Notamacropus eugenii: one gene and its partner. The protein of the gene in region 2 binds, or shares a complex with, the protein of the main gene of each other region. Links are inferred from orthologs where the notes say so. Each region holds a gene or a part of one and is shown on either strand. Other genes may lie near its edges.

The links. Proteins that work in one complex are often made in the same cells at the same time.
Region 1: TMEM231 (region 2) and TMEM17 share a complex: the UniProt entries of both Homo sapiens proteins name them as parts of the tectonic-like complex. The link is inferred for Notamacropus eugenii from reciprocal best matches to the Homo sapiens genes TMEM231 and TMEM17.

Annotation. Positions count from the first base shown.
Region 1 is NC_092872.1:642,117,897-642,121,643, forward strand, and holds the start of TMEM17 (transmembrane protein 17), read left to right. Parts: upstream 1-889; 5' UTR 890-990; coding exon 991-1,090; intron 1,091-3,570; coding exon 3,571-3,674; intron 3,675-3,747. UniProt on the Homo sapiens protein: Transmembrane component of the tectonic-like complex, a complex localized at the transition zone of primary cilia and acting as a barrier that prevents diffusion of transmembrane proteins between the cilia and plasma membranes.
Region 2 is NC_092872.1:712,651,456-712,655,202, reverse strand, and holds the start of TMEM231 (transmembrane protein 231), read right to left. Parts: upstream 2,260-3,747; 5' UTR 2,094-2,259; coding exon 1,955-2,093; intron 1,402-1,954; coding exon 1,232-1,401; intron 1-1,231. UniProt on the Homo sapiens protein: Transmembrane component of the tectonic-like complex, a complex localized at the transition zone of primary cilia and acting as a barrier that prevents diffusion of transmembrane proteins between the cilia and plasma membranes.

The sequences.
Region 1 (3,747 bases), about 71 Mb from region 2:
TAAGCATTTTTTAAAAGGGGTTTCAGCAGAGTACTAAAGCGTTCATTACACCGAAACGTTTTAGAGTAGCGTTACAATTCACCCTATCTAGGCTGATACAGTATCATGATAGGCAATATTTCCAATACATAGAAAAATCTGACAGCGGCCTCCAAAGAGTGACAATAAAATTTTGGCCACGAGTAAGTCCTGTTCCACCTCAGCACGCGGAGCAAGCCTAACCCTTGCTGTTCCCACCGGAACACCGACAGCCTTGGGAGGACAGCCGGCCTGGGTTCTGATCCGGCGGGCTCCCTGAGCCTTCGGGGGGCGCACGCGGAAGCGGGCCCCCTCCTCGGGCCCGCAGGGGCAGCGGGTGTCAGCGCTGGGACGCGGCCGGGCTGTCCGCATGACCGCCACCCCCAGGGCCCGGAGCGGGCCGGGCGCACGTACGAGCCGGACTGCAGCCCTCCCGCCTCCCTCCCCAATGCCAGGACTCGGGTTCTAGCGCTGGGTTCACGCCGGTGTTACAGAGCCCCGCCCAGGGTGCCAGGCCTCTCCTGGAGGATCCCCGGGCTCTGGCTCGGCCCTGGGGGTATTTTCCAAGGCCTGACATCCGGGTCTTTCCGAGGCTGTGACGGGGTGCGGGGCCCCCGCCGGACTGAACAGGGGATATTTAGTGAGGGAGAGAAACTGGCTTCGGCCCGGGCCTCTTAGGGCCTGCATGTGGGGCAGGGGATCACGTCTCCGGACCTCAGTTTCCCTATCTGTAAAACAAAGACGTAGGTCTAGGCCGCCTCTCAGGTACAGCTAACGCTGGGCACACAGACCTCCTCCATTGGGCCTCCGCGGGAGGGTGGTCCCCAAGCGCGCAGGCGCCCGGGCCCAGCCTGTGGCCCCGCCCCGCCAGGGTTGCCATAGGAACCGCCGCCTGTTGGGGTGGGGGAAGGGAGGCCGGGCTCCAAGGGGAGCTGAGGCTTCGGTGGGTTTCGGGACCCGTGGAGAGAAGCCATGGAGCTGCCCTTTCCGGTCCGGCAGCGGCTGATGAACTTTAGCCGAACCGTGTTTACCGACACAAACCGAACCAATCCAGAATCCAGCCTCAACTTCTGTGAGTGGCAAGGGCCTTAGGAGAAGGGGCTGAGGGCGTGCGCGGGCAGAAGGGGGCGGGAAATGACGTTGGGGTCGTGCCCACACTGAACATGGCGGCTCGGTCTTCAGCGGGCTCTGACGGGGCGGGGGAGGAGGGGGTCCTTCCCTCCAGAACCCTTCCCCGATCTCCGATGACGGGGTTTGGGACTGACTGAGGCCCCCTTACTGGGACAGGAGTGAATCGATCTGGCAAGTCATCGATTAATTAATGGTGCCCGATGGCAGCTGTAACGCCTCTGGGCCTGAAGGGGGGAGGGCGAAGAGGGCTAAGTTCAAGTTCAAGTTCAAGCTGAGCGCCCGGCGCGCTCTGCTGTCTCGCTACCTCTTTTCTGAGACTAGAAATGACCAACTAGTTGCGTGAACACAAATCCCCAGAGGAAGCTCCCTAAATAATAAATATTTAATAAATATTAAATCATAGGTATGAGCCCCAAAAAAGAGAAAAGAAAGGAAAAAAATCGAACATCTCAAAAAGCTGTGCTTTTCTGAAAAAAAAAATGTGTTTCTGGTGGCTCTCCTTATTTTCACGCAAATCTTGGGGTGCCTGGTGTGGGGGAGGGGAGGAGCGCAGAGGTCAAGTTCCCAAGGGGGCCTCGAGCCCGGAGGTCCGGAGTCTTGAGGTCTCCTCTGGCCTCAGCTTCCTTCTTGGCAAAGGTGCTGCAGGGCTCTGCCATTTCCTTCTCCAGGTCATTTGACAGTGGGGAAACTGAGGCACACAGAGTTCAGTGCCTTGCCCAAGGTCACTGTTGCTGAGGCAGAATTCGAACTCATGACTCTCTCTGGGTGCCTGGCACCTCCCTTCCAACCCTGAAACTGGTGTTTTCAGCATCATCTCAGCTCTATTTAAGACCTTAGGATGCTTTATTTTAACTAGAAAGCAACACTTTGTACCGTTTTCTGCTTTCTGTTCCTGAAGAAATCAATATTTGATTTTTTTAACTCTATACTCAATTTTTATCATTAGAGATTTTTAGCCCCATGTATATCCATCCTAGCAACTACCATGCAGGTCCTAGAAAGGATTAGACAGGCTGGTTGATTTATCTCTCAATAGGTTTAACATCTTAAGGCAATTAATGTCATTAATATATGAATTTTTTTCAAGGACTGAAGTTTGAAAAATATTTTTATTGTTAAGAATAGAAATGTAGTTGCTTATTTTAATATGTTGTTGACAATTATTTAAAAAGTTCCCCTGTGGAAATCCACTGTGGTGTAGAGGACATGGAGCCAGACTTAGAATCAGGAAGACCTGGGTCCAAGTCCTACCTTTGACAAATACTTGCTTTGTGACCTGAGGAAAGTCACCATCCTAAACCAGGGGTGGGGAACCTGCAGCCTTGAGGCCACGTGTGGCTCTCTAGGTCCTCAAGTGTGACCCTTTGACTGAATCTACACGTCATAGAAGAAATCCACTTAATAAAAGAATTTGTTCTGTAAAAAACTTGGACTCCGTCAAAGGCCACACCGAAGGCCACACCTGGAAGACCACGAGTGGCCTTGAGACTTCAGGTTCCCCAACCTTGTCCTAAACTCTCAGTGCCCCAGGAAACTCTGTAAACATTACCCTGAAGTTCAGGTGCTGACCTAGCATTGGAAGAGGAAATTTCCTCACAGGGGGTTCCTTATACCACTAGAATGATGAATAAAATCTTCTGTCCTGCAAACCCCACCCTCAAATCCATAGAGATATAGTAGAGGGGTAATATTTTATTTAAAAATTTTTAAACCTTTGGAATGTTAAACAACTAAAGAATATGGATTATTTCAAAATATATACTTTTTGCATATGAAATTTGGCCTCATTATTTTGGAACTTGGCTAACTTTGTACTTGAATTCATAGGATCTGTGTTGCCTCCTTTAGGACTTTCTGTTTACACAAATGAAAAACATACTGCATCATAATCTCTAGTGACTAGTAATTTCTTGGCAGAGCAAACTTATGATTGGTATGGTCCTTACAACACTATGGCAGTCATGGCAATTGTGTTATGGAGATATTGAATCCAATGATGTGTACATTTCTCCTCCCCAAAAGCTGCAATAAAATTAATCATAATTATCTGTTATACTTTGAGGCCACATATTGCCTGCATGAACAGGGAAAGACCCAACAGACAGTAATTACAAAGTGATGATATACTATACTATTATTCGCTTCCTAATCACCAAAAATAGCCAGTCTCTAGAATTGAACCCAGTGTTTTTTATATAGCTGACGCTTAATATATATTTATTTAATTAATATTAAGGCCACTATTCCTTCTTCTGGTAGTGGTTCTAAATTAGCACAAAATTTGAATTAAAAAATATCATAGCTCCAGTTCTTCTAATAATGTGGATTTTGAGGAGCAGAAAGGACATCTCTGAAATAGTATGGTTAAGGGTTGGGTTTTTTGTTTGTTTTTTGCTCCTTTTTCCTTCCTTTCTCCTGCAGATAATGAAATAGTCTCCAGTTTGGCATTACAGATGTCTCTTTATTTCAACATTTACTTCTTTCCATTTTGGTGGGTGTGTAGTATCATCATGCTCCATCTGAAGGTGAGTATAAAATCTGATTGCTTACAGGCGCCTAACTTTCTCATACATTTCTCTTATATTATTGCACTGTCAA
Region 2 (3,747 bases):
TGGTGCCATTTATTATTATGGTAGATGGGGTTCTTTGATCTCTATTGCTAGCAAATAAGACTGCAAATGATTTTAGTGAACTCATCTTGTTTTCTAAGACCTTCCTCAACTCATTTATTGTCACTATTAATTTTTGGTAGGAACATTTGGATTTTCTAAATAGCCTAAATAGCAAATAATATCTTGAACTCTTTGTTTTTAATGTTAATAATTTTAGTTTCTTTTTTTTGTCTTATTTGCAATTGCAAACTATAAATTAAAATAACTCTAAGGTATGTATCACTTCCCACTCATCAAATTGGGAAAAATATGGTAAAAGATGGAAAAAGCAAATGTTGGTAGAGCTATAGTGGAGCTACGAACTGATCCAACCATTCTAGAATATAATTTGGGAATATGCGACAAAATTTACTAAACCATTCATACCCTCTGAGCTAGAAATTCCACCACTGGGCTTATATCCACAGAGGTCAACGACAGAAATAACGTTCCCCATTTGCACCAAAATAGTCATAGTTGTTACAGCAAGAATTTGTAACAGAAAGAAATTAGAAACAAGCTACACCCCCAATGACTAGAAATGCCTCAACAGAACAGCGTATGAATGGAAGAAGAAGCGCATGGTACGGTGGGGAGAATGCAAAATTTGGAATCAGAAGACCCGAGTTTGGATCCTGGCGATGCCACTTTTTCACTGTGTGACTGTCAGTAAATAATGAACCTTTCTGGAAGCCACTTTCCTCATCTGTGAAATAAGATGATTGAAATGGATGACTTCTGTGGACCTTTTTAACTGCTGTTATGATTGTAATAAAATCCCATCTCACTATCACAAAGGATAAATATGAAGAACTCAAAGACAGGTGGAAAGACTTGTGTAATCTCATGTACAGAGAAAAAAGCAAGACCAAAGGAACAATATAGACCTGAATATACTGATTGAATGAAGTCCACCCTAAAAAGCAAAAGAATTCAGGTCAAATCCATGGACTTCTGTGGGGAGGGCAGAGCTGAAATACTCTTCCTTTCTGTTAAGAAATGATAAACTACAAGAGTGGAAAAATCACAATTTTTTTTTTGTCTATGACAATCATGATATTAAGATGGTTTAGCTTATTTGATGTTTTTTTACAGGGAAGTATTATGGGAGGTTATTTATTGGGAAATGATCAATATGTCAAAACAAACTGTCAATAGCAAATTCTGCTTTAGGAGTATAGGAGCCACCTACCCATACCACTGGCAGCCGAAGATTATCCCCTTGAAACTGGTTAAAATTGGGGAATGTGCTCCAGGCTAGATACTCTCCAGAATTAGAGCTTAACAAAGCCACAAACAGCACCTCATGTTGGTACCGAACAGTCGGCTGCTCCTCATAACTGCTGCGCTTCAACCAAAAACCTAGACAGAATATACAAGTCAGAAGCAAGGCATGGAGAATGAAGCTCTGTGCCCAGGCCGTGTTGAACACCAACAAGTCGATCTAGGGGCCAAAGAAGCTGAAAGGGAGATGAGAGCACACACAAGATGAGGGGAGATGTGACACACTAGGAGAATGAGGCCAAGGGGTGTACGCCAGGTTCTGGGGACACCATAATATTGCCTTGATGGCAAAGTACAGAGGGCAGTGTAGGTGAGGTTGGGAGGGCCACAATGTGTTGGCAGACGTCTGCCTCGGTCTGGGGTGGGGGCTTCTGGATGGCCGGGGTCTGGGTGGGGTTTGGGAGGCACACTGAAGGGGGGTGTCTGGATGACTTGGATCTGGGGAGTTTAAGGGACACAATGTGAGGGGGGCCATCTGGAAGGCCTGGGTCTAGGGGCTGGGGGGGCGGGGAACGACATGGGGGCGTCTGGACGGCCTGGGTCTAGGGGCTGGGGGCGCACGACATGGGGGCGTCTGGAAGGCCTGGGGGGGGGGAAGGGGCAGGGCCCCTTCGGGCTGGGCCGGGCTCACCGTGACTCCGGAAGGCCACGAGCAGCGGGGGGATGTAGGTGAGGCTGGAGGCCAGCAGCAGAAACAAGGCGGCCTTGGAGCACAGCCCTGCGCGGTAGATGATCTCCAGAGGGTGAGAGTACAGATCGTAGAGGGCCATGGCGAAGGCCGCGCTCCTCGCTGCAGGCCTGGGCTTAGGGAGCCCGGGGCGGAGGCCTGGGCTGCACGACTCACCAACGCTTACCAGATTTGGCTTCTCTCAGTGGCCATAGCCTAGGTCTCCACGGTAACCGTCCTACCTCGGTGCGTGAGCCAATAGCAAGGCCGCGGCTGGGGTAGAGTCGTTCTCAGCCAATCATGTAACGACGTGAGGGGGACGGGCTCCGCGCCGGCGAGAAAATGTTACTGTGGTCTACTTGTGCCAAAGATACCTTGTATCCCTGCTCCCTGCGGTGATCTATGCCAAGAGCGCTAAGAACATTTCTGAAACCTTGCGTGTAAACAGAATAATCTTTTATCTTTTCGGATAAACAGCATTGTAGGTATATTTTTGTCAGATCGCCCAAGGCAATATCTGTAGCCAGTCCAAAGGAAATGAAATTCCCGTGCATTTCCTACTTGGTCTTAGGAAGTATTTAGGGACCGAAATCAAATGGAACACTTCATACGTATGTGCCACTAGCTATCTTTAAAGCACTGGGTGCACAACTCTCTGAAGAGTCAATCAATAAACATTTATTAAGCGCCTAGTATGTGCCAGCACTGGTTGTGCTAAGCACTGGAGATGGAAAAAAATAAGGCGAAAGGCATCCTCTGGAGCTCACAGAATTAGGGGGAAAACATCATGAAAACGTGGTTTCAGCAAAATGTTTGTAGCAATACCATTTGTAACAGCACAAAGTTTGACGCCTAGAAATAAAATTGTCTGTTTGGATATCAACTCCTCAAGATTGTTTTCAGTATGAATTCGCAGTACAAAAGAGAATTATTCGAGATCTTTTTTACAACGAATTTACTCCAGAACAGATTGACCGTTTTATGTTTGCAAATATTGAATTTTCACAGTCCCTAAAGACTAAAATCTTGCCTGTGACCGAAAGGTCAATAAAAGAAAGGCACAAATATTTTCAAAGATGATTGGTGTATTAAAAGTGATGTAAGGGGATTCACTGAATATATACATAATTGGAAAAGAAGTAGCATGTGACAAGGGCAACAGATAGCATATGAATGACTCAAATGACATACTGTTGCCAAAGAAATGTAAAAAGACTTAAGAAAGGGCATTTTTCCTGATAGCAAACCTAAATTTAGTTATTTACAAATTCCACATATTGCTCTTGGTTTTGATCTCTAGGACCAAACCAAACTAGTGTAATCTCCGCTCCAGATAAAAATCCTTTAAGTATTTGAAGACAGCTATCATATTCCCCCATTCCCACCCCCAGTCTTCTACATCTCCAGGCTAAATGTGTCCAGTACTTTCAATAGCCCTCATATGTCATAGAGTCAAAAAAGATAAGCATCCTGTTTACTGTCTTCTGAACCACCTAAGTAGATAGGTGGTGCAAGTGATAGAGCCCTGAGCCTAGAGTTAGGATAGACTTGCCTAAAACACTTATTTAATAGCTATGTAACCTTGGACAAGTCACTTAACATGTTTGTCTTCTTTTCATTATCTGTAAAATAGGGATCATGATAGCACAGGAAAAAAATGAGATATATTAATAAAGTACTTTTCAGACCTTAAGGCACTATATAAACATTATTATTGAAGATAATTTTGGCAAACTTGATTTTTTGTTTTTGTTTTG